Oryza sativa Japonica Group: one gene and its partner. The protein of the gene in region 2 interacts with the protein of the main gene of each other region in a pairwise test. Links are inferred from orthologs where the notes say so. Each region holds a gene or a part of one and is shown on either strand. Other genes may lie near its edges.

Region 1 (17,089 bases), on a different chromosome or scaffold from region 2:
TGTTTGATTTTCAGGTTGAGCGTTGGAATGAGCAACGGGAAAACGGCACCTTCCCTGGACCTCTGTAAGCATGTGCAAAGGGGAGAACATACGTTGTTGTCCGGGCTCTCTTCGTTGGTAACTGGCGTCATGTTATCAGAATCGGAGGGATCGTCCTTTTTTTTGGAGAGATTTACAAATAAGAGATTTCTTTTTTTATTTGAAGAATGACATCTGTTGACTCTACCTAAACGATCATCCTCTGCACTGCTGAGAAACTCACATTACAGCTATGATCTTCCTCCCTTGACTGATCTTCCATAACTGTTTTCTCAGGATAATGTGGTTGCTCGCTTGGGAAAATGTGTTGACATAAATCTTAAGTTCTTTACTTTCTCTGTTTATGTATTGTCGTCTACGCTATGGAGTTAGCGGTGCACGGCAATTAGACGCGAGTGACTTTGCACTCTACATGAGTATGACCATTGTTCAGCCAACTTGGCAGTGTTGGTAGTGCGTGTGGTTGCACCTACCAGTTGCTAAGCAGCAGGTTGATCAGGTCATCTGAAATTTGGATGACCTACTTTGAGTGCCAAAGCACCCCCGTTTGCTCTTCAGATTAGCTATATGCGAAACGGTGGGGATTAATCAGCAGGACTACTCTGAAGCAGTAGAAGTTTGTGCGTTTGTTAAAACCCTACGCTCCAGTCCAACCAAGCCAAAGGACTAATTCGGTTTAAACAACTCTCTTTGCCGACTGACAGATCAGGTAAGATGGCTGATCGGATACACGGGATAGTCTCCAATCTCATGAAAATGTAGAGAATGGTTTTGAAAATTTTCGAGACGTTAGGTTTTACAATACTACTCCCTCCATCCCCCCTAAAATGTAATGTAAGGATTTTGGACATATGAAACACTTACTACTACAATAAATCTGAACTATTAGGAAACGTCTATTCTGTAGTATTAATTTGTACTAGCATTTATGATGGAGGCTGAACGCTAGCGTTAAGAATTCTTTGAAAAAAGAATATAAAATATGAGTTTTTTGGAGTAAAATTTTCTTCCTATACGAAATATACATGCTTTAATCCTCACTAGGTTGTAAAGAATATAAAGCCATGGTTTTCAGATCTCCCATTTGCTATATTTTCCCGTGTTCAGTATAGTATATTTTCCCATGTTCGCTATATTTTTATAGCGTTCTATTTTAAACATGCAAATACGTGTTGTTAATACTCGTGAGGCTGCGTTATGGAGAGATTTTGGATGAATTTTCCGATGGCACTTAAAATGAGACAAAGTCATTAGTGTATGATTAATTGAATATTAATTATTACAACTTAAAAATATATTTATTTAGGTATTCATCAGTTGTCCATATTTTTAATAAGCCAAAACGGTTAAAAAATAAAAATTAATTTATAGGTACAACTTTTATATATGTCTCCGTGATTTAAAAGATAATATTGAAAAAGAAAAATCAACTTTAAAAATTAAGTTTAAAAATTTAAATTTTGGTTTTGGCTTTGCATTTGACTTATTAGGGTAACCGATGATGCTATTAGTTTTTTTTAAAACAACTTATAAAACACATCTTTAGCGGTTCAGGTAGCTTTGCTAACATAAAATAAGAGAGTTGCTCCCTCCAACCGAAGAATCGAACGCATGCTAAGTATTGTTAGAACTAAAAGAACAATATTATTTATTGGAAGGAATAAAAAAACATCACTAGCATTTATTCTAAAGAAATCCTTACTGCTAGTAATATTGTCTTTTATAAATTCGAAAAAAATTGAAAAAACTTTAATTTCAGATAAAACTAAAACACCTCGTAGGGGTATATATTAGTAGCACTGGCATGTTTTTCCCTTTTTAATTTGAAAAGCCATTGATACTAGTATAGGAGTACGAGATCTTCCCATCATCCCTAAAGTGTTTTTTTTTTTAATTCGATTCATGTCACTACAAATATATTATTTCAGATAAATATTATTACAATTCATTCATTGTAGCTGTGTTACTAAATTTTTACAAATTTTAAACCATGCCACGACCGTCATGTTTTCCACACTTCTTCCTCATGTGCACACGGACCCCATTGGTGCATCATGTCCTTTGTCGTTGCACCAGAGCCAAACACGAAGAAGGAGCACATAGCGTAGCTGAGTGGGGATGGGAACATGTAACCCTTGCCGCAGGTGGAGATGAAGTAGTGGTTGCTACAGAGGAGGAGCTCGAGCTCCACCGCGAAGAGTGGTGATATCTTGTTGTGCACCGTGCGGCATGACCTCACATAGTACAAGGAGTTCGGCGACAGAGAGAGCGGCACTGCAAGCAAACAAGCTTACAGGTGGAAGCTTGTCGCTGGGGATGTGTTCCAAGCATAGCCACCCAACGCTCCTCCGTGTGATGGTTGGCGATGGGGGTAGGCCCCATTGGTGTCCTGGCCACCCCCCACCACCTCCAACCCTAGAGGCTGTGCTGGGGGAATCTCGTCGATTTTTACTCCGTTGCCACTATGTTGCGACTTGCGAGGGAGAGGGAGGAGGAGGGATGGGGGCAGTGGGTCCCTGTGTCGCCAACCGTCGCGCCGCTGCTTGCATAGCTACCGCCGCTGTCACAAAACAAAAGGATGGGAAGAGAGAAGAAAGAACATGGAGAAAAGGATGGGAAGAGAGAAGAAAGAACATGGAGAATGAATGGAAAACGTGACGGCAGTACGGTTCTAATTTTTTAAAATTCAGTGACGCAGTTACGGATAGATGAATTATAAAGATATTTTTATGCCAAATGGCATATCGATAATGACATGGCTCGAATTAACCTTTTGGTTTTGAGCAATGCTACACGTATTAAATTTTTCTTACTAAACTTTTACTAACAATCATCTCAACCGTTTGATTTAAGTAGATAGAAGTTACAAAAAATCTAGATGCACTCATAGCATGACACATCAGTGTTAGTAAGAATTTAGTAAAAAAAGTTATTACGTATAGCCTTTTCCTTCGGTTTTCCCTGGCTGACGAGTGACAAAACTGCAGTTGAGCACATGCGGCAAAAGAACACCCCCAGCGTCATCGTGCCACGTGGATGGCCCCCGCACCAAATCAAACGGCCCCCGCGAGAGGAACGCCACAACCAACCTCTCCCCCTCCTCTCCGCAGCCGCACACTCCCGTCACGTTGCGGTACGGACACCCACACACACAGAGACACGCTCCGCCTCTCACTGATCCGTGGGACCACCGATCCGCGGCACGCCAGTTCGGGCCAATCAGAGCCCAGGGATCCACGCTGGCGATCCGCGGGCAGTCACTCACCCCCCGGCTCCCACCCCCACCGCCGTCCGATCGTGGCGGAGGAAACACACCCGCGGACGATCTCGGCCGTCCGACCACGCGGGCGGATATACCAACCGGGCGGGGGGTGGGGGATTCCTCGCTATAAATAGGAGGCCGCCGCTTGGCTGAGCAATTTTTCTGCGGTTTCTTCTTCTTCTTCCTCCTCCTCGCGCTCCCCCGATTCGAAGCGTGAAGAGAGGAACGGCGCTTGCGAGAGGAGAGAGGTAAGCATCACGGCGAAGTTTCCCCCTCTCTCTTTCTTTTCGTCTCGTTTGCTGCGACCCCGGCGGGGTATTGAGATTCTCCGTTGAGGTCGGTTGGTTGGGGGCTTGGGGGATTGGGTGGGTTAGGGCTTGGGGGTGGGGGGAATTTGGCGATTTGGGGGGTTTTCTCGGGTGATCTGCTTGTTTTTGCGCCGTTTCGCCCGGTGAATGCCAGCCCCGTGTGATTTGCTGGTTTGGTTGTGGTCTAATCGTCTGATATTCCAGGGCTGTGTAGTCCTGTAGTTTTTGACTAGGTAATTGGAGTGCTGATGGGATTTGCCGTTGAATTTTAGGTTGTTTAGCTCTAATTTACCTGCAACGTTTTGGGAATTAGGGTTTCTTGGTGAATTTTAGGTTGTTTAGCTTTAATTTACCTGCAACGTTTTGGGAATTAGGGTTTATTGGTGATATAGTGGATACGCATCGTAAACTTGTATTTAGGATTCCCCTTGGGATTTTGTAGGCGAGTGGCGGCTGTATGTGATTGGCACGAATTATTTACTCGGGTGAATTTAGACTAGCTATTTTATTGTTGCCGTGCCCTTTCTGGATATGAACGGATGAATATGGCGTCACTGCTCGATGATATCGCAATGTTATGATTGAAAAAGCATAGTAGTTATACTGATGCCATTGTGTAGTAGTTAGTTTGTACCTCCCCTGGGTTGCATTGCAACTTGCGTTAATATGGATACTCCGTACAATTGTTTATTGTTTACTTGGTATAGCTATGCTGCATTTTCTATATTTGTTGGGTTATAAGTTTTTGTCCAATATTTTTAATGACTTGTGCCAGAGGCTCTCAATCCTCTGTTATTAGACCTGTAATTGTAAGGTCTATTTCTCCTTCATTCTGTTTCAATGTTAGTTTGTGGATGTACAGAAATCAAGCTATGATTGATATAATACATTGCTTTGGCATAATGGCACTCTTATTTTTGTTTTATTTAGGAGAGTGCTGTGTATTAGTTTGTTCAGTTAATTCAATGTTGTATGTTTTACTGTGTCGGGAACTTACAGATGTTCTCTTTAGGTTTCTATCCATTAGTAAGTAGAGTTGTTGCTTTGCTTGAAACCATCAATTTGAATCTGTTTATAGAGATAGGCTGTTATTCCTGCTTACTATTTTTTATATAGTTACTTTGCCATCCGTTAATCAGGTTAAGAACAATAAATTGTGTCCATAATCAATGTTTTCAATGGAACTCACAAAATTTTGACAGAAACATGTTGCTTTCTTAGGTCAATCTCTAGCATATTGTTTTTTTTTTGAATTGTTACTTGTTTCTGTGGTGTTATTACAGAAAGTGCTTACTTCCACTCTAGAATTTTATTACATTTTTGTCACAGCATATTCTGTCTGTAACATGTTATTCCTTTTTGTAACATAGATGGCCCGTACCAAGCAGACCGCTCGTAAGTCCACAGGAGGAAAGGCTCCCAGGAAGCAGCTTGCCACCAAGGTATAATTCTTTTCATACTTGCCTTTTGCTTTGTTAAACACAGAGTGATTTCGACAGATGGTCTTACATCACCATCTCTGTGCAGGCTGCTCGTAAGTCTGCTCCCACCACTGGAGGAGTTAAGAAGCCCCACCGTTACCGCCCTGGAACTGTTGCCCTCCGGTTAGTATCAAATTCCTGGGATGGTTACCTCCATGTGGTCTTTGATATGCTTTTGCTTATTTGTTTTGCTACTATTGTGCTTATAAAACAGTGAGATTCGCAAGTACCAGAAGAGTACTGAGCTTTTGATCAGGAAGCTGCCCTTCCAGAGGCTTGTTAGGGAAATTGCACAGGACTTCAAGGTTGGTATCTCAAAAGTTCATGGCATAATTTGATTGCTTTCAAATTTGGATTGTTTGTGATGGCTTATCGATTGAACTTGGCTTTGTTGTTTTGCAGACCGATCTGCGTTTCCAGAGCCATGCTGTCCTTGCCCTCCAGGAGGCTGCGGAGGCATACCTTGTTGGTCTCTTCGAGGACACCAACCTGTGCGCCATTCATGCCAAGCGTGTGACCATCATGCCTAAGGACATTCAGCTGGCTAGGAGGATTCGTGGTGAGAGGGCTTAAATTCCCCTCGGCGATTCCTTTGACAAATGAAGCATGCGTCGTAGTGTTAGTAGTGGGTTTTAATCTTTTGCTTATAAGAACAATCTGAGTAGGGTGTATTTTGTGGAACAATATGTTTCTCATGATGGTGCTGTATTCGTCTTATTGGTGGATCTGTCAAAAATACTCAGCATATTGTCAGTGTGTCTGGTGACTCTTATTTTGTTAGTCTGATTCGTTTGCGTCTTATTCTAGCGGTGCTGCCTCTTTGGCACTGTGCATGGCTAGATACAATTACATTGTAATTCACCTGTCTCTAATCCGTGTTAATGTAAGTGTTCCGTTGCTGTCCGTGTGAATTGTGTGATGCTAATTTCGCTTGGCTTTGGCTCTGTAAACCACAAAGATTAGGTTCAAATTTATACTATGTTTTAACTAGGGCAAAGAATCTTGTGTGGTATAGACCGTTTTGATGATTCATGTTGTATTTATTGGTACCCTTGAAATTTTGTGGTATTCTTTGAATTTTTTGGCCGGATGCTGAGGTTATATTCAAATTCACAAAGTCACATTTTTGTGCGAGGTGGTCGATTGCTTACGAACAACAAACATATCTTAAATTTTGAATATTCAGAATTTCAGACGATTGCAGACGTTAAATGAGGAAAGTACGGCTCCCTTTGAATTGAAGGAAGGAAATATATATGAATTTTAGAGGATTTTATTCTTATAGGAATTTTTTCTACAAAGCCTTGAATTAAAGGAATGAACCCTATGAAATCCTATCAAATCCTATGAAATTCCTATGGAATATCTTTTGAGTCTTTATCTCTACTCAAATTTTTGTGTTTTTTCCTGTGGTCCAATCAAACGCGTTTTTTCTGTGTTTTGCAATCGTCTGTTTTACACTTATATTTATGTTAAAATTCTATATTTTTTCTATTTCTCTATTTTTTTATTTATTTGATTCAAAGGGGCCTACACGTGATTTCCTTGAGAATAGAAGCCCACAAGTCCCAGTGGACCCTGCACCAAACAGCTTTTATTCATTCCAATTCCAAGAGAGGAGAGAAATATAATTATATAGCACAGCACATAAGAGTACTAGTGAGTAACCAGTGAGTAGTACGCCCGGAGCTCGCATCGCATCACCGGCTGAGAGAGATCCTAATTCCGAGATGGCCACGACGCGGGGGCAGCTGCCCGTCGAGGACGTGCTGCGCGTGAACGGGAGCCGGCGATTCGCCGCCGCGCTGGCCGCCGCCTCCCCCTTCGCCTCCCTCGCCGACGCCCTCCTCGCCGCCCGCCGCATCTGGCTCAACGAGGTAGGTATTATTATACTCCTACCTTTCTAACCACCACATCCCCCCGCGGTTGATGATGATGATGATGCTCGCTGCTCATGGCTGGATATGGTTTGTTGGCCCGCCGATCGGATCGTAGGTGGACGTCAACGGGTGGCTGGAGGCCTTCGCCGCGCACCCGGCCATCGGCACCACCTCCTCCTCCGCCCCCAAGTCGGTGCCTCTCTTTCCTTCTTCCTTTAGTTTTTTTAGTGGAGTAGTTTTTTTTTCTTTTTGGGTTTGTTTGTTGTCGATCTCCACTGTCTGTCGCCGAGAGCGGATTGATTTGCTTAAGAGCTCCTAGAAGGAAACTCCCTCAGCCAAGATGCTTTGCTCAACTTGTTCAAATCATCCATCCTATGGAGAAATTCACTCTGCGGCGTTATCAGTTTTGACGAATAGAGAGATCTGAATTATCAATGCCCGTACTGGCTTACAATACAGAGAGGCATAGCCGCATAGTACATGTTCATGGTGTTCTCAACTACCTTAATTTACAGACCTCTACAACCTTACATATTGTGCCACTAATGTAAGGTGGTTCAAGACGAGTCTAGTCTGATATATAAAATCACACTAGCCAAAGCCAATAAACAAATGAATAAAGAGAATCAGGTAGTTTTCATCAACAAGTACACAAGGGTGGACAAGTAGAAAGTGCTTAATTGGTGGTTGGGAGCTCTTGCATTATTTGAGTGTATATGCCCTTTAAAAGCTAGTACCATGGTAGGAAAATTTTGATTTGCTTCGTGGGGGTATTAGGTGGTGCAAGGAGGAGCAATCAGCAGCGCTTGCAACTGCCACTGATTCGACCGCGCAGGTGCTGCAGCTTTCTTTGCCATCATTTTCTTGCATGTTTTACAGTACTTGCAGGCTCAATATGCTTCTTTTCACCTGCTGTAGGAGTTGGCAGATTGGAATGCCAGGTATAGGGAGAAGTTTGGGTTTGTGTTCATGATATGCGCGTCTGGGAGGACTGCCCCTGAGGTCTTAGCGGAGCTTAAGGTCTGGATATGCTCTTCTATTACCTGATTAGTATTCTGTGCTTATTTATCTCTTTTTAACTAGCGCTCGTATGTTTAGATGATTGTTCTCTATGAGTAATGACGAACTGTGACCTGTGGAATAACAGTAAAATGAGAGCCATAGAAGTAACACTGTTTCTAAGGGATACACATGTTAAATTTATCTCTGACACTGTTTGCTGGATAACCTATTTCTTAGCATGACAAGCATTTCATATACAACTAAGCTTCATATAATGACTTCCTTTCCATTGTTGAAGTTATCTTATTACCATCCTGCTCTTTCAGAGGCGCTATGAAAATAGGCCAATTGTTGAACTTGAGATCGCAGCACAGGAAGAACTGAAGATAACTGAACTGCGTCTTGCAAAGCTTTTTGCATCAGAGCCTGTTGCCCCCCCTTCTTCAACGGTTGGAGGTCCTACTAGCCAATCGGATAAAGCAGCAGGTACTGAAACAGTTTTATCTGCTGTTAATAAATGCATGCTCTTTATTCAACATATTCGAGGATTTTCCGTGTACCTATCCAATATACTTATCCCAATGGTCCTCATTAAGTTTCTTGGATTGGTAGTTCCCATGCCCACATTTATTTTTTGACTGAGCAGCTGTGCTGTGCATTTTTGGGCTTTTCGCATATAGTCTTTTCCATGACGAAGGCTACACTTTGATGTTTTCCATGGTCATGGTTGCACCTCATAGGTTAGTACATCATTTTTTTTCTCAGAAATAAGTCCTGATATCCAATACTAAAGGAACTATATTTTTTCTGACTCTAAAAAAGTAAAAAAGAAATGCAGTTCACCTAGTATTTTGGTTCACTTAATTTGCAGAAAAACGCACTGTAGTACTGTATAGATTAGTAGTTGCAAACTTTTTTTTCTGATGTTAATGAGCAACCTAGTGTTGACATGATTACACGCAGCAACTTTGCTTACTATTGACCTCCGATCCATTTTCTTATCTATATGTATTATCTCTTGGCATATAAAACTGTAACTGAAAACAAGAAATGAAGTAATTCATATGTGGAGTAAATAAGTAATGAACTAACTTTACGGAATGAGCATATCCTGGAAAGGCATCTCCTGGGCATCGCTTATCATCAATATTTGAAAGTTGAACTAGCTGCGACAATTAACCTGTACGTTATAATTAACATCACTTTATTTTCCTTCGCATGTTGTGTTGTGGAAGTGTAGCATACTACTAATGGTTTTATAATTATTCTGCTTTCTTACCATTTTATTGTTCAAAAGACCGCATGCGGATTATTGGAGCACATCTTGGATCTCACACCCAGCATTCTGCCAATAAAGCTCCTGAAATTACAGGTAGCTCCAACCGAACTCGCCCTCCGATCACAACCCATGTTTTGGATGTCGCTCGTGGATCGCCAGCATCAGGAATTGAAGTTCACCTAGAGATGTGGAAGGATGCATCAACACCCCCATCATTCAACAACAAAGATTTCAATGGATGGGCAACCCTGGGCTCATCGGTTACGAACAACGATGGCCGCAGCGGTCAACTGATGGACATTGTCAATAACGTCGCTCCTGGTTTCTACCGCATAAGTTTCAACACCAGCAAGTATGCACCTTCAGGGTTCTTCCCTTATGTGAGCATCATATTTGAGATAAAAAAGAACCAGACGACCGAGCATTTCCATGTCCCTCTGTTGCATTCTCCTTTTTCATTCACCACTTACCGTGGCAGTTAAGTTAGCCTGTCCCCAAGTCTGCGAGATGCTGCATATTCCATCTGAAAAGTTCGTGTGTAATATTCCTCTTGGTAGCAAAATGTCGGGAAAACAAGTTTGCTTTGGTAGCAAGGGTTGCCTGTTTATGTGCACTGACATTATGATGCAAGAATAAATTTGATATACTAAAATGTATACAGAAGCTTGATGTCTATAGTACTAAAGTTTCAGTGCATGGTTTGGTACGACACATGCCACTTAGTAGATGGATTATATTACACTTATCAATCTATACCTGTATGACCACTTTTTTGATTCATTTGCCATTTTTTTCCTAATCCAAGACTTGAGTTGCAGATACTGATATTATTGACTCTGGAAAGATACGGGGAAATATCTGCTGAAAACCATCAAATAAGTGAAAACTTGTTAAAGGCATCAAAACAAAAATTTTACAAGTTTATATACTAAATTCCATTCAACAAACAGGTTTGTGTAATACCAATGCAAATTATTAAGAAAAAAAAACTAGATATGAAAATAGGTAATGAATTATATCACCACCACCAAATTTCAAATTCAAACTCAATTTTTTTTGAGAATTACACAGTACAACGCAGACACTCACAACGCACGCGCACTCACCCCTATGAACGCACGCACGCAAACTCTACCCCTATGAGCATCTTCGAAGACTGGGCCGGCAAATCCTGGAGAGATTGACGAAGTCACCACAGGCGTCTCGCTGTCGACGGGTACGTCGTCTACCACTGAAAGCACAACGCCGTTAAATCCTGGAAAATTCGCTCCCATAGGGAGTTGAAGTCAGGACCTCAGGTGCTACTGAGGCTCTTGTAACCACTAGGTTACAGACCCTTTCGCAAACAACTTTTAATTAAACAACTTTCGCAAACTCAATTTTAGGGCCTGTTTGGTATAACTCCAACTCCTAAATATAACTCCAGGAGTTGAGTTTGGAGTGGAGTTGTGGAGCTGCCTAAACCCAGCTCCACAACTCTAGTACATTTTGTGAGAGAGCTCCACCCAACTCCACTCCCAGTTTTGGTGGAGCTGAAACTGTTTGGCTGAGCTCCAGCTCCAGGAGGGGTGGAGCTGGAGCTGGAGCTGTGCCAAACAGGGCCTTAGTTGGAAGAGGAAAAAAACAACTTTTAATTAAATACAAAAGGCACCAAAATAATTAAGCGAATAGCATGTATCTGTTCTATCGGCAAGCAACAGACGCACCAACCTATCAGGCCAGGGTAACTAGTAAAATTTAACGATTTGATATTATATTCGTTGACAGTTTAATTCTATTAGCACTTGAAGATATAGTACCTACAGTGCAATCTTAGAGTTTTTTTTTTTTGAAAAGTGATCCCCATATGTTATTGTATATAGATTAAATCTCCACGAGAAATCGTTTTAAGTTTGTGGTTGGACTCGTTGTAATTTTTGTTTCATTTCTAATTAATAAAATTTGAAACTGTGGGGGACTCCCGTGCAATGATTGAGGTAAAATAAAATTCTCTCACTGTACCCTTCATCACTAATTCACTGCCGTTGCCACGCCACATCTTCCCCCATCCCCTGCCTTCGGGCGCTGAACGGTGGTGCAGTCAAGCCATCGTCACCGTCAAAAAAAAAAAAACAGTGGCTCACATTCGTGCATGTATACATAGAGTAGAATGGGCCAGCCCATTAGTCCGTGCAATCAAGCCAGCAAATGAGGCCTAGCCAGGTTGGCGCATTATGGCGAGAAAATGTCCGCGGTAATGGAGTCGCGGAGGGAAAAATGGCATCTTTACTCTATTTTGGCGCCGTAATTACATAATTATCTTCGTTTACCCTTTTCACCTCCATTTCTCTTCTTAGGAACCCCTCCTCCCCGGCACGCAAAACAAAGCACCTATTATTGTATGATTAATTAAGTATTTACTATTTTTTTTAAAATAGATTAATATGATTTTTTAAGCAACTTTCATATAGAAACTTTTTTTTTAAAAAGTACCGTTTAGCAGTTTGAAAAGCTTGCGCGCGGAAAACGAGGGAGATAGGTTGGGAAAGTGAGGTATTGAACGGAGCCTTAGCTGTAAAAAGAATTTATGCCCTTTTCTTGTCACCTCTTCACAGCCTAGTTTTGAGATGCAACAAGCTTGTGATCGGTTAGGTATGGCAGAAGAAACCACTTGAAGACCACGTATTTGCCACCGTGGTTGGTCAGTTTCTACGAGAGAGATGGAAGAAAAGGTGGATGGCGAGCACCATGAGTCCATGAGGCAAATAAATACCATCTCTATACTTGTCATTCTTCAAGCATGGCTGTATTTTCTCTGTAGTAATAATCTTATGGAGGTAACACTGGTTTCGAGGTTACAAAGAGGTATGCAAATAAGAGGAAGTCTGCTGGTAGTTAGATCATTTAGATATGTTTGCTCAAAAAGAGGGTCATCGGAAACAATATAAAAGAGGTTATTTAATAAAAATGTCCTAGAGCTGAAACTAGAACCGGCTGTCAAGTAAGAATTGGCCTTATACTAGACCATGACTGATCTTGTTCTAGACCACAATCACATCCTTTATCCACGAGAAACATTCCACCTAATGTCATCACAAAGGAATAATTTAGATTTGCAACCTTTTAAAATTGAGACAGCCGATGACTCCGGAATTGGACCAAAAGCTGCACATGAGCTAGCTAGTCGTTAAGTTGGTGGAACATTTAATCTTAGCTACACCCTTCATGATCAAAAAAGTTATTTGCGTACCAAGCGACGGAGGGAGATGGCATATGGTCAAGCCGGAAGTATGTTGAAGTATTTTCAAGTCAAAATTGCTGAGAATCCATCCTTCCAATATGCTTTGCAAATGGATTGTGATGAACAAGTAGCAAACATATTTTAGGCTGATGCTAAAATGATCATAGACTATGCACATTTTAGTGATGTCACTTTTGGTACTACTTTTGGAACAAATAAAGAGAGTAGACTTTTGGTGTCTTTGTTGGATTCAATCATTTTCGAGAAACAGTAGTTTTTGGTGCAGCTCTTATGTATGATGAAACATTTGAGTCTTTCAAGTGGTTGTTTGAGACCTTTATAAAATCACATAATGGCAAGCAACCTCAAACAATTTATACAAACCAAGATAGTGCAATGGGCAAAGCTGTTGAATAAGTGTTCACAGAAGCATGGCATGGATTATGGACGTTCCACATAATACAGAATGCTATCAAGGATTTATCTCAACCGAAGAATGAAGGCTCAAGTATTTTATCTGATTTTAGTGCTTGTATGTATGAGTACAAGGACGAGGCAAAATTTGAAGAAACATTTGACACCATGAGAAGCAAGATGCAGAAGCAGACTTGGTTATATAGTATCTACAAGTTCAAAAAAAAGTGGGCTAAATGTTATATGAAGGATGTCCATACATTGGGGATGAGAAGCACACAATTAAGTGATAGTCTGAATAATGACTTGAAAGACCATTTTAAATCTAATTTTGAATATCATTTGGTTTCTACAACACTTTGAGAGGGTAGTGCAACTGAAAAGAGATAAGGAATTGAATTCTCTATTTGAGTCGAGGAAAAAGTTGCCAAGAATTAAAATGAAAATACCTATATTGTTGCAAGCAAGCAAGCTGTACACACCCATTATATTTGAAGCATTCCAAGCTGAATATGAACGTTTCATGGCAGCATGTGCTGAAGTGTTGGATGGAGATAATAAATATCTTGTTGCAATTGGAGATGAGAATTTAGCATTTGAAGAGGAGTACATGGTTGCTGGTAATCCTTTAGAGCAAATGGCTATATGTAGCTATGGTCAATTCAAGAGGATTCGAATATTCTGTGGCCATGCTTTAAAAGCTCTTGATTTGATGAATATCAAGTCACTGCCAACACATTATGTGTTAAAGCGATGAACGCATTAAAGCGATGGACGCAAGAAGCACGTCTTGAAACTATACAAGATAACCAAGGAAGAAGCATAGTTGAAGGTCCAAGATTGGATGAAATGCTTCGCTACAAATATCTCTCATGCAAATTTCTTAGTTTGGCACATCAAGCAGTTAATTCACCATAATGTTTCTTGCTAGTAGACAACACGCTTAACATCCTCACCAAGGAAGTTGAAAATAAAATGGCTACAAGTCCATGTATTAATTTGGGAGACCCATGTGCAGCTCGTGTTGATGTTCAAGAACCAAATGTTTCACTTACTAATGCAAGCCTAAAGAAGAAAGAATTCCGTACAAGAAATTTGAAGAGGAATAGATCATGGACAGATAAGAATGGGACAAGGAGGAAAAAACAAAGTACAACTAAAAAAACTAAGGTAAGTTCTTAGTACCAATTTCATCCTAGTGCTATATTTTAGTTCATGCCAATGACCTTTGCATTATAAATTTTGTTCTCTTTCCAGCAACAAGATGTTGAGAATGCTGGACTGCAGGCACAAGCTGTAGAAGAGAGCAGTTCTAGGACCAACATCAGTGATGTTGGACAATATGGGGTCATAAATACCTTCACCCAATTGTTGATGGTAATCAAAATAATAAGCTAAACGCATAAACTTAGTGACTGCAATGTTACTAAGTTTTTTTTTTACTCTGGTTCAACTTTACATGGGCCAAACACCAATGAGCTTGGCACTGAAGACATTTTAGCTATGGCAATGCTTTTGTTCTTGTTAATCATATGCTCTAGTCACAATTTCTTTTGCCTTGTGATGTGATTTGTCACTCTATTGTGTAATGAAACATGTTTTTTAAAACTCATGAGTTGCCTTGCATTTTATTTTCGTGAAATTCTACGTATTTTTTAGGTGAATTAGCAGTTTAGCACTAATCAATTGGAGGCTTTCAGATAATGTTTAGCAGAGCAAAGGCTTTATATGCATAAGCTGACATTTTTTGGGCCAAGCCTTCTTCTATTTGCTTTGATGGACTAGCCCATTCTACTCTGTGTACACACACGAATGTGAGCCACTGGTTTTTGCTAGACGGTGAGGATGGCTTGACTGCACCACCGTGCCTTCACCCCCCGAAGGCAGAGGATCTGAATCCCCTCGCTGTGGCCTCTCCTCTCCTCCCGTCATTGCATCTCCTATCGATCGGCTAAATCCTTTCTTCCTATATAATTGGTACCCTCAACAAGTCATTTATGCTATAAAGCTCAAATTTTGTGAGGCCACATAATCATGATTATATTGACCATTAGATCATCTTGCGTCTATGCAAATCAACCATTAGATCAAGTTCTTCTTAGCCGATGGCATCTGAGAGGACCAATGCTTTTTGTCTTCCTCTTAATTACCTCATGCATCATTATATCTCTCTTTATCACTAACCACTAACCAATACATCTCCCACCCGAATCCTACACCACTACATTTGTGTCTACCTCTTTCTCATTCCCTTTAATTTTCCTAATGCATCTACTAGCCATATCTAGGTCGATCCAATGGATTTTCTTGAAATATTTATGCTTGAACGGGCTTCCTCAATCATCTAAGGAGGAAATGTCAATGGTCCAATGAAAATTTGGTTTGTCACTGTCATAGATGACATCGAAAATTTGTTGGTACAAATTACAACACTCGATGATCTTTACCAATTGCAAGGATGTCTATCTATGTCTATCTCCTATGGTGATTGGTTTTTGGTACTCTATCATGATCTTGCTTCTTTTCACATCTGATTTCTTCGTTTATCACCAAGCTTTATTATGTCAATGTACCACAACTATGGTAACTTCAATTTTTGGTGTTGTAACTTCAATTTTTGGTAACTTTAAGTATTGAGGGATTGGTCCACTCTCACATTTGACCATCTACGTCTAATTAAAAGGTTGTGCTAAATCTTTGTGTTTTTCAGACTGGCAATCACTGAATTTGTTTCTCTACAATTCCTCCCATTTACTCATAGGTGAACATGTTTCTTGAAATTACTAGATTCATGCACCCAATAGTTGTTTCTTTTAAGATCATATACCAACATATGCATGCAGAGTTATCCGTATTTTCTCTTTGTTTTCTCGCAAAAAGAAATATTTTATTAGAGATCTTAAGCCAATTTAGTACATAATAAAAATAGTATCCTGTTTGCTTACCGTTCATGGTTCTTCGAAATGGGAGTATCTTAATTGGAATCATGTCATTTCAATTCATATAGTAATCCAATGTACATATCGAACGTTCAAGCATGCTGATCATGCAATTATGATAAATTTACAGCTATATGTTCCCTTCTATGTAATGATATTTTACCAATAGTCAAAAGTTCTAGAATTACATCTTATAAATTCACGATATAGCTATCCCGCAGCAACATGCGAGGTATCAACTAGTAACAAAAGCTCCCGAGCTAATGAGTAGAACATAACATGGAAAAATATAATACATAGGGATTACCTTTTCTACAAATATCTATCTTAAGGACTGGTCACTATATTTCACTGATTGAATGAATTCAGAAATTAGAAAGCCTTTTTATTTGAAACTTTAGAATGCCATCATCATGCAAAGAATAAGCCGAACATAACTGTACTGCATCTATTTTATATTATACTAGTTGATACCCCACGCGTTGCTGTGGGCTTTTGTAGAATTCAATAATGACCAAGTTTGATCAAATTAGAAAGCGATATGCTTTAGTGTGATTGAGCGCAGAGTATGATATTGAATTTATTTATCAAAAGATACGTGTCAAAAAGATGTTATGAAGATACTAATATGTACTTATGTAATTGCATATTAGTAATTGCACTTTGTTACCTTACATGATTAATCCAAAGAAATTCTTCTGTACTGCAGAAAGGCTAAACTACAACATTCAGAGCTTAAAATTTCTCTGCACCAGGAATTTGTCAACTCATTTGAGGAACCGATAAATATGATGCAATATAGGGAAAAAAATGCAAACTGTAGTAAATAGATTCCTCAAACAAAATCATGTGCTTGGGCATACAGGGAGAAAAAGGTAACACCATGAACAGAACATACTAACTGTAATTATATCAGACTTTTGATTTTACCTTCTGAATCGGATCATGTGGGTCAAAGCAATCAATGGTATTTGATCTGTTCATCTCACTGATCACATTCTTATAAAAATCAATTGTGCCAGAAAAGGAACAAATTTGTATTTAGGAGACTGGTGGCTGGAGCTCGCTGCTGTCGATGTTGCATTGCCGTTCATCTTTGATGGCCTGCATTTTTTTTTTCAAATATTCAGGTAGGACATGGCTACAACTGCTGAGAACCACCGTCCTGCTCAGGTGCTCTTTATTGGATTGTAACTTTGAAAGTGCTAATTAACAAATACAATCACTTGCTTGAAGCAGATGATCTGCAAACTGAATCATGTACT
Region 2 (16,013 bases):
GACAGAGCACGGGGCGGCGGCTATGGCGCGGAGACGAATGGAAGAGGAGGGGGGGTAAGGGGAGGCCGGGGGTTTAAAGGGGACGGCAATGTCGGTTTGAGAACCGACTTGCGCGGTCAAGGCGCGAGCTGGCGCTCCGGCTAGCGACCAAATTGGCGACAGGGAGGATGACGCCGGCGGGAGGAAAAGGGAAAAAGGAGGGGGAGAAAGGGGGCTTGCCCCTTTGCCGGATCGGGAAAAGGAGGAGGGAGCGGGGGGGGCGATGACGACGGCGATGACGGCGGCGGTTTGGAGCGGAGCGGCGACACTGGCGGCAGGCGCGGGCAGGCGCTGACGACGGCGGCGACCGGGCGGTCGGCCATTCGGCACGCGCGCGCGGGAAAACAACAGGAGGCGCGGCGGCACACGCGCTCACGCGCGCGCGGCGTGCGGGCGGGGCGGAGCGGAGGGAGGAGAGGCGCTCGGGGCGACTCTCGCACGCGCGAGCAGCGCGCGGGCGAGGCTGAGCGGGGGGGGAGGAGCGCGCCGGGGGGGGAGAGAGAGAGAGAAAGAGAGCTCGGGAGAGAGAGAGAGAGATGGGCCGAGCGGAATTCGGCCCATCGAACCCCGGGGGAGGCAAACTAAACTTTGCGGAGGGAATCGATTTGAAAGGATTTGGATTCGGATTTGAACTCGACGATAGATCGGGGATTGAGATCTTGAGATGGCACGGACACTAGACAACAAGCAAGGAAACAAATTTCGCAATTAGGGTTTTTAAGAATTAATTTTCCTGCTAGGCGCCACGACGGAACGGGCACTACACTATGGCTCTGCGATAGCCGCAAGAAGGTCGACAAGGCTCATAGGCGAGGCTCTGACACCGTTGCAACTCTTGTGACGTGTACAATCTAGAAAGAAAGAAACAATAGAGTGTGCAACAAACAACAGCGAACATAGCCCAAGGTGGCCAAGGCGATGGCAGCCGATGCGACGCTTTGGCGTCTGCCCAATGCGTTGGTGCCGGTGTTAAGTCCTTAGCCACTAGAGCGGCTGGTCGCCAAATGTTGAGTCAGGAATAGGCTTCGGTTTCTTAGTCTTTAATGTTTCCCGCTTCCCTTCTCCTTTTATTTTTTTTGGGTTTGTTTGTAAAATTTTATTTCTTTTAATTAAAAAATACGCTCCCTGCATATTCCAAAAAAAAAAAAAAGCTCTTTGCAATGTTCAGAGTTCAGACATTCTTGTGGTGCTCCAAGGAGAAATATATTCAGGCGACTGCAACCATAGTACAGACAACAGGCAGCATGCTGAGGGATGTCAAAATCTGAGGTAACAATGTACCACAGTACCAGCAATTTCAATCCTCATTCTTAATTTCCAGTTCTCATATGAAGCGAAACATACTCCCGCCAGCAGCAAAAACAATAGAACATTTGCCACCATTTAGTTGAACGGAGTTAGTAAGTTGTTTTAAAGGACAAATATAGAAGCAGAGACATCCATCACATCATTATTTCTACCCTATAATCATTAATTTGTTGGGTAACTGGGCGCAAAAGGGAACATAGGATTAATGACATATAATGCCATTTAGGAGTACCTAAGAATAAAATTATCAGGGTACTCAAGGATGAAAACTCTATGAACTAGAAATTGCATTGCGAGACTTCAAAATTTCCGCTGCACTGTACTTCCAATCTATCTGTTGACAGCTAAATTTGACACTAAGGAAGAAATATAATAAAGTTTGACCAAATTTGAAAAGAAGCTCGAGCCTTCTATACAAAGCCGTTCTATTCTGTAAAAAAAAAAAAGAATTCCTAGCCACAAGTCTTCTATAGGATTGGTCTTTTTTTTTTGGACGGAGGGGCACCGACCAGTGACCGTTGTAAATCGTTGTGGTGACAAAAGCATCAACACTATATTTTATACTTATACTAATTGAATACTCAAAACTTCTAATGTTAACCTGAAAATGGAAAATTTAGTCGTGGATTAGATAGATAGCACTATCCTATTTCAAAAAGTTTAATTACATGGTCTTTAGATGAGACCTTCTGCTAGAAAAATAGCCACAATGTATACCGTTAGCACTATGACTTCTCTCTCCTCTAGGATCCCCTCTAAAAACCAACAATGAATATGCTCTTATTACATCAGCCTGCAGTGTAATACGGAATCTTGGAACTATCATGCCCTGCAACAAATTCTGTCCCATATGGATGCTTGATACGGTCACTACATGAGTGACAACGCTCATAGTCCTGATTCCTCGTCATTACATAATCAATTCTCCTGTTGATCTCATGGCATCCACCTACAATTAAAGCAACATCAACATATCAAATAAATCGCTGAGAAGGTCCTACAATCACACGTACAAACATCAATAACCTTACAGTAATTACAAATAAGCAAGCATATTAATCAGAATACAGTCAATTGGTCGACAATAATAAACATACCAAAACAAGAACCCTGGAGGTTGTGGATAGAGACGACACACATGGGCTCGATATCATCAGCACATCCAACAATATTAGGATCAAGGCTCAACTCTGCAAAGCGTTCCATCCTCTTTGCCAGAAGATCCGGATTCAATTTGAGCTCTGCAAAGTACAGGCTCTTCTTAGCCTGATCATCATTCTGAGCCCTGGCAGTAAAGTTGACATGGGCGTATGTGGACCCACAGACCTCATGAAAACAGTTTGATAAAAGAACAGTACAAAGCTCAATCTTAACCTGAACAAACAAAAAATAGAAAGGTTAGTAGTTTACAACATTAAGACTTATCATGTCATGGAAAGCAAAAAAAGGAAAAGGGCTATTACAATGTTCTTCTCAATATTGTTGTAATGGTTAATTGCTAAATTGGCGAAGCGATGAGCTTGGGGACAAACTTTCTTGCCAGCGAGCTCTGCCTCCATCTCTTCTGCGGTCAAATGTTGCTCACTGCAATATATTCAAAAGAGTAATAGATTCAACAGTGTGTTGGACAAAACCAATTTTAGGTATTCACTTAAAAGTTTAATTTCACTTCAACTATTGCATTCTGTATTTCTGTTGCATATACAGGACTTCAATTGTTAATGCGTTCTATCTCTGACCACCAGCTAAATGAATCAACTGAAGTTATTTTATAATTTAACTGTTTTAGTAACCAAGAATGGAAATGCAGCTTAAAAAAAATCCACATTTCTTATTAATTAAAATGGTTGCAGGTTCTAATATCAGTTTACCCATTTACAGGATCGTGCAGGATTCATCTCCAAAGTAACTTTGGCTTTTCTGTCTCCACCTCTTCCTTGTGTCCTTAGGAGATCTATTCTAAGCTGAATTATCGATGTCTTGTTTGCTGTGATCACTACTGTTTTATAAGTGATAAAAAAACAATGATAGTTTTTCACATGAATTTTGTACTGAGGAATATAATGGGTGCGCAATTTCACGTGTGTTAGGATCTACGAAAGGAAAGTTCTATTTGTATGATGTTTTCTTAGTGATGTAGTTGACATACCCATGAGCAAAAAAAAAAAACAAGAAGAAGAAGAAGAAGAAGAAGAAGAAGAAGAAAGAAGAAGGGGTTTAACATACGGTGTATCGGAGAGGACGCGGGGTCGGAAGATTTGTTCGATTTTGTTCTTCTCGATGTCGATCATCCTCTGATAGAACCTGGCCATCTGCGCCTTGGACTCGCGGAAAGCGGGCTTATCCTCCTCCCTGAAGCAGTGAGCCTTATCGCTCATGTCCAAGCTGTCCGCGAGAAGCTCCTCCCATGTCATGGGCCTCTTTCTCAGGCAAGGATGGGGTAGCGTGCGAGGGATCCTCCTCCACCTCCCTGGCGTCCTCTTCTTCCTCGCCGGGGCCTCGCATGCAGACCCCGCCGCCGCCGGCAGGAAGGTGGAGGAATTGGCCCCCGATTGCGACGGCGACGGCGGCGGCGGCGGCGGCAGAGAGTCCAGCCATTCCCGCGCGGTGATCGGGACGGTGGATCCCTGACGAACCTGGAACATGGAGTAGGTCGCCAGTTTCTCTTCTATGGTGGGCCTTCTCATCTCCGCCCGCCGAATCGCAGTCTAGGGTTAGGGTTCTTCCTCCTCGCGAACTCGATGGGAGAAAGAAAGTGGTCCTGATATATATATATCGATGCGAAAAGAAATTTATGCATATGTCACGGAAATCAACACACGTACATTTGGCTCCTGCTCAGCTGATCCTATACCATATAACGATACAAATAAACATATTGAAATTAAAACAAGGAAATTATACTTCTGACAGATCAGGCTCCGAGTCCGCCGACCATATGTATTGCACGGCGTCGCGGATCACCCGGAGAAAAGCGGCGGCCGGCAGCCGGCGCAGACGACGGCGACGTTGTGTCCACGCGGCGGGTTTCCCGGCCGCTGGCGTCGGCGGAGCGTGCTGCCGGCCGTCCCACCGCGACACGCGCGCCATCGGAGGGCGGTTGCACCGGGGTGTCGGGGGCCATGCCACTGCCTCCTCGGCAAGCCGCCACCGTCGTCGGCGAGCTGCATGTGCGTCGCGGCACACCGGGGTACCAAGGTTGACGGCGGCGGAGGAGAGCGGCGCGGCCTCCCCAGCACGCCGTCGTCGTCGGCCAGACTGATCGGCACGGCGGAGGAGAGCGGCTCTTCTTCGTCCTCAGCAAGCCGTCGTCGTCGGTCGGCAGCATTATAACCGGCGGCGACTCCTGCAGACGTAGTCCGCCGTGTCCGAGCGGCCGTGCTTGGAGCAGCGGAGGGGCGAGCCGGACGACGTGAAGCATCAGCAGCAGCAACAGTGCAAGGAGATCGAGACGAACTCTCCATGGCGGGAAGCCGGGAAGGAGAAGGAAGCCAATCGAGAGATGTGATGTGTACGTGTGTTGCAAGCTGCAGCGCTTCGTTTTGGGTATATCACCGGGAAAGTATTTTCTACACATGGTACCTAGGTGTATACATGTAATTTAAACAGTCATATAAAAGTTTTATAAAATTTAATAAGATAGGCTATGTTAATATAAAACACTATACAAACATACAAGTCTAAATTTAATCGACATACAAAGAAAAAAAATAACAAATTTTATCTGCACTGTACAGGGACTAGTCACTGTCTGATTTTATTATTTTTGTTTCTTTAGTTATAGATCAAATTTAGTCATGCATGTTTGTGTATAGACTTATATCATCACAATTGATGTTACTATTTTTTTTTTAATTTTTTCTATAACTATTTGAGTATACTCTACAAATCTCGTCAACGAGTATAGCCCGTCGACAATAAGCATTAATCCCAAATTCTATAAAGTTATCAAAACTGAAAATATTATAATTGTGAGACCCAAACTAAGTACAACCGGATATTATTAATTACAAATTTTGAAATTTATTAAATCATGGCAAACTTATAATTAAGACACCAATCTGAATACAACTTAGTTTTTATTGATTCAGAATTTCAGACTTATTGAAACATCGAAAAGATACATGTTAATTAAGGTCGAAATACTACCATGAGGATCGATAGATATATATGCTAGCCTACTTAGCTAGTGACGAAATTAACATGCATGCAAAATAAATATACACATGTGCTCGTCTACTTAAGCTAGACATATATTCATACAGTTGGTAATTAATGGTACAGTTTATATAACTTCATCTTCTTCCTCGGTCTCGATCGATCAGGCTTCGAGTTCGCCGATCACGTATTCGACGGCGTCGCGGATCAGGCGGAGCAAACCGGCGGCATCATCCGCCGGCGCCGGCGGCCGGAGCGGGGGATCCGTGCTTGTTCGGAGACGTGGAGACGTGATAGGCGGCTTGTTTCCCTGCGGCGACGGCGGAGCGATCCCCAGCGGCGGCTTCCCGTCGTCGTCGGAGAGCGGCTTCGTCGACCCACCCGGCTGAGGCGACGGCGGAGTATTGGTCGGCGCCCTCCCCCCCGACACGCCGCCGTCGACCCCGGCCAGCGGCGTCACCGGCCGATTTGACTGAGGCGGCGGCGGCGCCCCGCCGGATCGTCCCAGCTGTCCCGGCACATCCAGTCCCGGCGAGGCGGCGGCCACGGCCTCGCCGTCGTCGGTCGGCAGCATTATAACCGGCGGCGACGACTCCAGCAGACGATGTCCATGTCCGAGCGCGAGCGGCCGAGCTTGGAGCAGCGGAGGAGCGAGCAGGACGACGTGAAGCATCAGCATCGGCAGCAGCTTGCAAATGCAGGGAGATCGAGACGAACTCTCCATGGCGGGAATGAAGGAGATCAGAAGGAAGCTGATCGATTCGATCGATGGATCGAGAGATGTATGCATGTGTGTTTGCAAGATGCAGCGCTCGCGGCGAGCTCTTTACATAGGTAGGGTTTAATTGCGTACGGCGCTTGTACTTGTCGACAATGTGTGTGGCGATTGGTGAGTCAACGGTTTTGTTAGTTAGGCTGTGTTTAGATCGTTGTAAAGTTTGGAAAAGGACTGAAATTGGAGATGATGTGACTGAAAAGTTGTGTGTGTATGACAGGTTGATGTGATGGAAAATGACTGAAGTTTGGATCCAAACTTTGGATCTAAACACAGCCTTAGTATTGCTGAACCATCAAAAAATATATATTTAATTTGGATCAACTAGTCGTCGTTAATGTTTAGTACTCCCTGTACCATAATATATATACCATAATATGAGAGATTTTGAGTTTTTACTTGCAACGTTTGACCACTTGTCTTATTTAAAAAAATTTAAAATTATTATTTATTTTATTCGTGACTTACTTTATTATCTACAGTACTTTAAGCACAACTTTTCGTTTTTTATATTTGCAAAATAAAATTGAATAAGACGAGTGGTGAAACGTAGTATGGAAAAACTCAAAATCCGGGACGGAGGGAGTAGTAACAGGAAAGGAGCACGAATGACAGTATGTTGTCAGTTAGTTGCTACCGTACGCATTTTTTCTCTGCGAGCTAAGGTTGCTAGCAACATAACTGTTCAACAGCTATTAGTTACAAAAGAGAAAAAAAAATGTTCAACAGCAAGGAAGCAACCGCGAAAACCCACGTGCGTGAATGACCGGAGCTAGTGTCAAACTTCTGCGCTCACTCGATCGCGATCGATCTGGCCGTGAATTGGTGAGATTTTTGGCTTGCAGTCACATGAATCTTAATGCGAGCATTCAAACCATCAAACCATGCGAGCATTCAACGATTTTTTATGCACTTACCACAAACCGGTTGCTAGTTGCTACAGGCTACAGCCAGTCACTAGCAGGTTTTGGAAGCCTGATGGCGAGGAGCTGACAGTTTTGATAATTGACAACATAATCAGCCAATCAGGCCATGTTTAAGGGAGCTTCTTGTAACTGCAATTTCATCTTCGGCTCTTCAAACAATCTAGCTTTTCATCTAGATTCTAAGGGTCTGTTTGGAGGAGCTTCTAGTAGCTGCAACTTCTCCTAGAATCTCCAGTTGCCAAAAACTCCCTCAAACAGTCCAGTTTTTTACCCAGATTCTGAAAATCTGTAGTTGTAGAATCTGAAAAATGAACTAGGGGTCTGTTTGAGGGAGCTTAAGATTCTGAGAAACAGCTGGCTGGTTGCCAGCTTCTAAGAATCTGAAAAAACTGGGTTTCCCAGCTTCTAGCTTTTTATTTTCTGGATTCTACAACTACAGCTTCTTATAATTTAGACCAAAAGCTAGACTGTTTAGGGGAGCTTCTGATTCTGGGAGAAGCTGCAGTAGCTAAAAACTCCCCCAAACAGGCCCTAAGAATAAGTAGAATTTAGCTTGTTTTTCGTATTCTCACCCGATGGCTCTCAAATTTCCCAAACAAAACGGCATTCCAATCACACGAATGGCAGTGACTACCTTGTAACATCAAGGTTACAACAAATAACTAAACGTCTAAACCGTGTATACTGCCGGGCTTGGGGGACGCTGTCGCGGTGCAGGTTGGCCATCATCGTGTCCTGCCAACGGCGGAGCAACAGCAACCGGCCGCCACATCGGCGGCGGCGCGCCACCTCCGCCGTGTTGATGCGGCGCTGGGTGCTTCGGCGACGGCGGGATGTACGGCGACGGCCTCACCAGCGCACCACCGTCATCCGTGCTGACGCTGCTCCGCCACGCCGACGCACGAAGATGTGGATGGGAGGAGTAGGCTTCTCCTGAAGCGACAAAAACAGCAGGAGAAATTTCGTCAGTGAAGAACAGACAGACAAATTAGCTATCAAACCATTTGTTATACGTAGTATTTTTCACATGGTCAATGCGTGATGCGTTTGGTCAGTGAATGACAAATTACTAGCTACCAAATGCACTCCTCTCTCTCTCTTTTTTCACATGATGCATGCGAGTGAAAGCGTCTATGTTGCCTACCTAGCATCCGTGCTTGCAACGGCTGAGCGAAGAGGAGGTAGCAGAGGAGAAGGAGAAGACTATGAGACGGTGATCTATCCATGATCGATAGATGCAGGAGCAAGCTGAAGCTTGCTGCAGATCAATCGGTACACGGATGGAGAAAGGTTTTGGGAACACGGTCAGTATATATAGCGGCTAGAAACCACTGACCTTGTGTAGTTGACGAGTTGTCGAGGTTTCGAGCATTATACACTAGCAATCTACCATGTGCACAGTCGAAAGATGCTCTCTTTTTTTTTTTGGGCCCAAAGTGGGCTACCTGCTTTGTTTCTCGATGCCTGCTTAACTGTAGAATAGTAATGAAGCTAGAGTATCCCCTACCTGGCTACCTCTAAATGATAAAATCTGAGCCAACAGAACTGCTTCAGTGCTTGGCTATATCAGATTATTGCTCATCTCGTGTCAAGATTCTCAGACTTCAAATAGATTAGAGTGCCAACATTTCACTAGTCACAAATTGCAGATTATAATTATGATATGGCAGTGACAATATGACATTATATTTGACAAAACCATGAAGTCAGTAGCGGTACTAGATCAACCACTGGATAATAAAACAAGTCTAGGCTCTAGAATCCTATAAATGTAACGGAAGATTACCGGCCTCTGCCATGTTCCTTCAGGCATTCTTGAAAAATATTCAGGCGACTGAAACCATAGTACAAACAACAAGCAGCAGAGGGACGTCAAAATCTCAGGTAACAATGGAGCAAAGTTTCCAGCAATTTCAATCCTCAATCTTTCGAGTTTTCATGAAGCAAAACATACTCCCGGCTGCAAAAAAAACAATAAAACATTTGTCAGATTTTAGATGAACGGGGTTAGTAAGGAGGCATATAGAAGCAGAGGCTGATCATCATTATATTATATTTACTTTTGGGCAACTAGACTCAAAAGGGCCCTAAATATGGATTAGAAATAGTACCATCCATCTAAGAACAAAAAGATGAGGCTTCTGAAGGATGAAAACCGTATGAACTAGGAAGGGGCACTGTGTGCAAACTTCAAAATCTCCACAGCTCCGAACATATGTTATACATTTATACATGATTGAGCTTGCAAGTCAAGGCTCCATAAAGGAAAATTATGTTTCCATAATGTAGACATTTTGAGATTCCTTGATATTTATAAACATTAATATACCACCTAAAGATTCATTTGGAAATTGTATTGAGAAAAACAATTAGGCGTAGTTTACAAAGATATTACTTAGATTATTGGAGAAAAAATGTTTATCCCAAGAGTACCACAAATCAAAATAAAAGCTCTAATTAAAGAGAATGCCAAAAGCCAGACTGTCACTTTCATAATAAGTTGTTAATTTAAGTCATCACATACCAAAGATACATATACATTGAGCAATATACAAATAAACAAAAAAGTGATGCTTTCTTTAATTGATCATACCTACTATTGCCAAACTTAATGGTATCCTTTTCAAAGAGTTCATAATAACGGCTGGGCTCAATACGATTCTCCTGAAAAAAAAATCAAAACATAAATATTGACTGGGTAGAAAATATTATTAGAAATGCGACTAGTGTATCTGATTAGTAGTAAAAGTATCACTGGAGGACTTACATTAATGAAAGTTCCATTGGTACTACCAAGATCCATCAGATAAGGCCTATCAAACAAAGCAGCAAAAAACATCATAATCTAGACTAGCATACAGAACTAAGATAATCATGAATTATTAGTACTTGTTATTAAAAAAAATATATGCGTTACTAGCAAGGAGTACCTCACTTGCTTTGACATCATGCCATCTGGCTGCTCCTTCTCTACAAGTCTGAAAAGGCAAAGAGATGAGTGAATCACAATATTATTTCTCAATCTATACTCCTTTTAAAAGGGAGCAGTGGTGATGGTGAGTGGTGAATCTGCCACCACCCCACCACCAGCTCCCTAGTTTTTTTGGAATAGAAAAGGGGGGCCTACATGTCAACCACCCCTACCACCAACTTCCTACTTTTTGTGAGAAGAAAATAGGACAGTGCACATGTCAGTAACAAATATATACATAAATTAAGGGGCGATATACACAGAAAATGATGATAATAATGAGTTAATGATAATTTTCTTTATTTAAAATCCTGTTGCCACGCACAGGCAATATGCTAGTAAAGGCAAAAAACAATAAGATTGCTATGCTTACCTATATTGAAGAACTGCATGTTGCTTACTGCAGGAGGGATGATCTGTGGGGATGTCTGCAACTTTCCGTTCCCTTCCAAAAAGGTAGCTGCTCATCCGGTGAACATATAATGGTTCTGTTCAATCAAGATAGCATCACAAGACACAGTCAAACAAGAAGAGCAAAACTGAAGTATTTAATCACTAATGTAAGCACGTGAATTTTTTTACCACCGTACACATTTAATTTATACCACTATAATGCCCAACCTTTAACTTGCTGTTCATCACAATAAACTTCATTACTTCAGTTATTTCACTTCCGTTCAAAACTAAAACTAGTGAGCTATCCATACAATACCAATGCTCAAACAGTATCATTGGATATATTCACAAGCCAGTGTATCGTAAGGAACTGAACAATAGCAAAGCACTAGGCAGGCTTCATTATTACAAACCAATGGTCCTGTGTTTGATCCATCGATTGAACAAAGGTTCTCTTTCCTTTCCCCAGGGCTAGACAACTAAGCCACAGATAAGGGCATGTTTAGTTCTCAAAGCATGTGAACACCTTTTATGAGATCTAGACCTCCACTCTAGTTAGGCACGTGCACACACGCATGCATTTAACTTGGGTGGCTGTGCCGTGTACACATATCGACCTTACTCTAGAAAAGAAAGAGCCCTTTTACTCCCCGGGGAAAATGTAAATAATGATACTGATTCAATGCAAGCTCATATCATAGTGACCCACTCGTTAGTGCCTTTGCTCACGTTAAATGGTTCGTTCCAAAACTCTCCGAAATTAAGCTAGTTCGAAAATGTTTTTATGTTCCATACTCGCTTCATCACAGTCAGTTAAGCTTACTGCTTTTAACAGAACCTACTTTTGGTTTGGCCATGTTGGGAAGGGAAATAGAGAAACAGCTGTTGAACTAGACAAGAACATGCCTCTACAGACTGGCAAATCCAAAAAATGTTTTTTTCTTCTATTTATTAAAAACTATTAACTCGAACAGATAGCATGACAAAAGGAAAAAAGTTAGCTTCATATATAGAGTAACAAGTCAAGAATAACTACCTTCGAGTGGTTCACCACCCTTGAAGACGTAGAGTCTCCATCTAATATCTGACTTGCGAGCCTCTGGAGGTTCTGAATGCAACAGATTTACACCTGAAATGGAAGTAAATTGCAAACTCTGAGGACAATGCAATACAGCAAAGAACAAGGAATTACAAATTCTCATTGGTGGTTAAACAAACATTAATGTAAAGTGTAACATTTAGGTTCATGACCAAAAAGAAAGATATAGGGCTTCAAAACAGCACCTGCAACTCTGTTAGTCTCCTCAGCAAGCTTTCCAGACAATTCAAATGATGGTTTTTGCTGCAAAACACCAATGAAATTATTAAAATACTAGTGTATGACAAATGAAGAGAAAGGTTAAATAAAAAGAAAGCTGACATGGCAAGTATTTTGTATCTGCGAAAACAGCAAGCATCATATAAATAAACTGTACACAACAAAAGGAAGATTGTTATTATTTTAAATTTCATCATGGAGTATGCCCTACCTTTTCTTTTGCTTCCAGAGCTTCTGCAGTAGCATTCATCTTCACCAAAGAATCAGGATCAACACTCCTGGCCAAAATAGTATCAAATATAATATTTTCAGTTCTAAAATTTCAGGTACAAAAACATTGCGCTCATGTAGCTGGTCAAATATACATTTGTTTGTTTTAGGTACTACTGCTACAGTTGCTTAACGGATATGCTGATATGCATCAAAAGTTCAAAACCATTCCAGCAAGAGGGTATGACACCCATAACACGCGTAGCCCCATTGATACAACAAGAAAACAATTGCAAGCAATGCTTCTACTAAAAATTTACAATTCGTATTGAATATAGAGTTTTGCATGCTTACCGTGACGCTGCATCTGTTACAGAGCTTGTATCCTGAAATAAATCAAAACAAAGTTTAGGTTGCAACTAACGGGCCATATATGATAGCAAACATGAAAAGAAACCAAATTGGTATGAAATGAAAAGGATAGCGGGCAACTAATTATATCCTCTAGAATCTGAACTCTGAAGCAAGAAGGGTTTACATGGAATACAGACCCACAAGTTTAGTGTCAACAATGCTGATAACAAGGCGTACTCCCTCTGTACTCGTAAAGGAAGTCGTTTTGGACAGCGACACGGTCTCCAAAACATAACTTTGACTTCTTGTTTCTATAAAAATATTTAATGAAAAGTGATATATGTATACTTTTATAAAAGTATTTTTCAAGACAAATCTATTCGTATAATTTTTACATTTTCAAACTCAACTTGAGAGTTATTCATGATTTATATTCCCAAGGTTTGACTTAAACATTGTCCTAAACTACTTCCTTTACAAGTACGGAGGTAGTAATTTTTTTTCACTTCTATTCATTTGGGTGCAGGTTATCAGACAAAGAACAGAAACAAGGGACAATCATGAAACAAAAGAACACACTACGCCAACTAACAGGTGGATATGTATAAGAAAAGGGTCAGATATCATTACACACCTCACCATGTGCTGCACTTCTAGATGACCTCGGTGACTGGCGGGATTCACGTCTACCCCTATGCCTATGCTCTTCTGGAGACACTGATCGCCCACGCCTAGATGATCTCCCTGATTCACCATTGCTCTCATCCCGGTCTGCCCTTCTCTCTCTTGCAGAATCCCTTCTATCATCATGATCTGCCCTTTGCTCCCTGGAATTGACTTTTCGATCATCCCCATCAGACCTTCTACCCCTTGAATCACGCCTTTCATCATCTCGGCTTGACCATGTCTCCCTTGAAGCACCCGACCGATCAGACCTTCTATCTCTTGAGTGATCCCTATCATCATCATGATCCAGTTTCCTGTCCTTAAAAGAGCCCCTACTATCCTCCCTCTCAGTCTTTCTATCCCTTGACACATCCTTTCCCTCATCACGCTCCCTGTACCTCCCCGAGTCCCGCTCTTCCCTGCTGGTGGTCTTCCGACGGTCACCCTCAGTAGCATCTGCACCTTCCCGCTCACTCTGAGCCCTTCTCAATCGTTTGCTCCGTGGTGAGGGCGACCGAGACTCCCGTTTCCTGGCAGGTGACGGAGACCGTGACCGTGACTGAGCTTGTTTCGGCGACCTGACCTGCTCCTTCACCCTATCTCTCTGTGGCGACCTCCCAATACTCCTAACAGGAGACCTCCTAGGTGAGCCATTCCTCCGAACAGGCGACCTCTCCCTATGTGAGCTAGTAGTCTTAACAGGAGACCTCCTCCTAGGCGAGCGACTCCTCGGAGCCGGTGACCTCTCCCTCCGAGCAGGCGGGCTCCGCCTGCGCGGCGGCGAGCCACGGTCCCTCGCCGGCGAGCGCGACCTCGAGCGCCCCGACCTCCGCGAATGCTCCCTCCGCTCCACCGCCGAAGCCATTCCCCACCTGGAGCAGCATCACCCCCAAACCAAACCGATTCAGAACAGCACTACGAAGAAAAATCGCGGAATCGCTAGGGTTTTGTGCGGCCTCAGTCCGAGGAGCCGCCAAAAAAAAAAAGAGGGAGGGAGGGAGGGAGGAAGGGGAGCGTACCGGGTGCGGCGGAAGCGGATGCGGAGTCGTCGGCGGCGAGGTTATCGCCGGTGGCGACCGGCCAGCGGCGACCGCGAACCGAGGGTTTCTTCTCTGTGAGGGCTCGGCTTCAGAGAACAATCCGGAACCGGAGGCGGAGTCCGGGAAGGCTGTACAATATCAAGACGACCGCGAAAGCCCAATAGAGAGCCCAAGTTGCTAAGCGACGGCGGCCCAGTTAGATGAGGGCCCATATGGAAGACTCTGTGGTGGCCCATAGGGAATAAGTTCATCTAGGGTCCCTTAACTTGTCAAGGAATCCGATTTTCGTCCTTCAACCGTAAAACCAGATACTATGGGTCCCTGAACTATCAAAACCGATGCATATTAGGTCCCTCGGCGGTTTCGATGGTGGTTTTGGCTGACGTGGCACCTACGTGGCTAATTTGACTCGATCACGATCTGACGTGGCACTGATGTGGCAATTTGATCCGGAAAAATAATAAATTCCGTGGGACCTAAATATCAGTTTCACACACAAATTAATAAAAGAATGGCGGGGTCCACGTGACCCCACATGTCAGTCAAAATCACCCCTCCTCTTCTGCTTCCGGCTTGCCGCTCGCCGCGACGACGACGACGACCGTGGATGCGGCGCCGGCGCTGGCCTCGACGTCCTTGCTGGCCGGCGTCGTCGTCGTCGACGACGACTCGTCGGAGGACGAGGTGCCGTCGACGTACATCCCGATGGCGGCCTTCCTGACCTCGAGCACGAACAGCAGCAGTGTGAGCCAGACGATGGCCTAGAAGACGGAGAGCTGGACAACGAGCTGCTGCGCCCCCTCACCGTACATGGAAGGCCGTGAAGATCGAGAGGGCAACGGCCATGAACCACCAGCTCCACCGCTGCTTTGTATCCACGAGCACCGGCACCAATTGCGGGTCCCACGCCAGCCGCCGGGTCTGCTCCTCCGCCTGCCGGCACGCGTCGTTGTCGGGCATCAGGAACTGGATCAGCAGGAGGTCCAGCGACTGCGCCGTCCCTCCCTGTTGCCAGCGGCAGCTTCCTCCTCCCTTTACCTTGCTGCAATCGCCCGGCACCGGCGGCGGGGGTGAGCAGGCAGCAACCACCCGCCGGCGCTACCCGCCTCCGCGCCGTCTCGCCGTCACCGACACCGCCCGCGCCGGCGGAGGCGTTCGGGTCCGATGCCCTCAAGGAGACTTTCTCCGTTGACGTGGTGGCGGCCGAGGCGCGGCCGCTGAACGTGCCCCTGGCCGCGCCCTTCACCATCGCGTCGTCGCGGCTGGAGACCGTGTCCTACGTCGCCGTTCGGGTGGAGCTCCGCAGCGGCGCGGTCGAGTGGGGGGAGGCGCCTGTGCTGCCCTCCGTCACCGCCGAGGACCAGCCCGGCCGCCTTTGGTGCCCATCCCATCCGCATCTGGCGCAAGAGAGATGAAGAGAGGGGAGCTGGGGAGAGGAGGAAGATGGGAAGGGGTGAGTTAGCCTGACATGTGGGGCCCACATGGGTCCCATTGTTTTTTATTCTTTTGTGTGAAACTGACACGTGGGTCCCATAGGTTTTATTTTTTTTCTGGATCAAATTGCCACGTAAGCGCCACGTCAATGCCACATCAGATGAAGACCGAGTTAAACTAGCCACGTAGACGCCACGTCAGCCAAAACCGCCATCGAAACCGCCGAGGGACCTAATCCGCACCGGTTTTGATAGTTCAGGGACCCATTGTACCTGGTTTTATGGTTGAAGGATGAAAATCGGATTCGTTGACAAGTTAAGGGACCTAAGATGAACTTATTCCCACCCCCATAATTTTGAAGAGGAAAAAGTTCACTTTGGGTCCCTCTATTTGTCGCCCCGTCCGATTTTCGTCCCTT

What was found.
Region 1: the proteins of FHA domain-containing protein DDL (region 2) and uric acid degradation bifunctional protein TTL interact in binary tests that used the Arabidopsis thaliana proteins (3 or more experiments, as listed by UniProt). The link is inferred for Oryza sativa Japonica Group from reciprocal best matches to the Arabidopsis thaliana genes DDL and TTL.

What each region holds. Positions count from the first base shown.
Region 1 is NC_089037.1:15,994,819-16,011,907, forward strand, and holds uric acid degradation bifunctional protein TTL, read left to right. Parts: upstream 1-6,751; 5' UTR 6,752-6,820; coding exon 6,821-6,967; intron 6,968-7,085; coding exon 7,086-7,159; intron 7,160-7,747; coding exon 7,748-7,805; intron 7,806-7,888; coding exon 7,889-7,990; intron 7,991-8,298; coding exon 8,299-8,458; intron 8,459-9,269; coding exon 9,270-9,733; 3' UTR 9,734-9,914; downstream 9,915-17,089. Other genes in the region: cytochrome c oxidase subunit 6b-1, read left to right, coding at 15-68; histone H3.3, read left to right, coding at 4,980-5,051, 5,137-5,213, 5,305-5,395, 5,493-5,663. UniProt on the Arabidopsis thaliana protein: Involved in the last two steps of the degradation of uric acid, i.e. the hydrolysis of 5-hydroxyisourate (HIU) to 2-oxo-4-hydroxy-4-carboxy-5-ureidoimidazoline (OHCU) and its stereoselective decarboxylation to (S)-allantoin, a major ureide compound.
Region 2 is NC_089039.1:27,210,043-27,226,055, reverse strand, and holds FHA domain-containing protein DDL, read right to left. Parts: upstream 14,270-16,013; 5' UTR 14,141-14,269; intron 13,994-14,140; 5' UTR 13,987-13,993; coding exon 13,090-13,986; intron 12,488-13,089; coding exon 12,456-12,487; intron 12,170-12,455; coding exon 12,103-12,169; intron 11,916-12,102; coding exon 11,858-11,915; intron 11,703-11,857; coding exon 11,610-11,702; intron 10,666-11,609; coding exon 10,551-10,665; intron 10,185-10,550; coding exon 10,137-10,184; intron 10,020-10,136; coding exon 9,974-10,019; intron 9,871-9,973; coding exon 9,800-9,870; intron 9,167-9,799; coding exon 9,127-9,166; 3' UTR 8,840-9,126; downstream 1-8,839. Other genes in the region: uncharacterized protein, read right to left, coding at 2,136-2,296, 2,445-2,721, 2,811-2,931, 3,574-4,034; probable auxin efflux carrier component 5a, read right to left, coding at 14,710-14,878, 14,967-15,121. UniProt on the Arabidopsis thaliana protein: Involved in the microRNA (miRNA) and short interfering RNA (siRNA) biogenesis. May facilitate DCL1 to access or recognize primary miRNAs. Binds RNA non-specifically.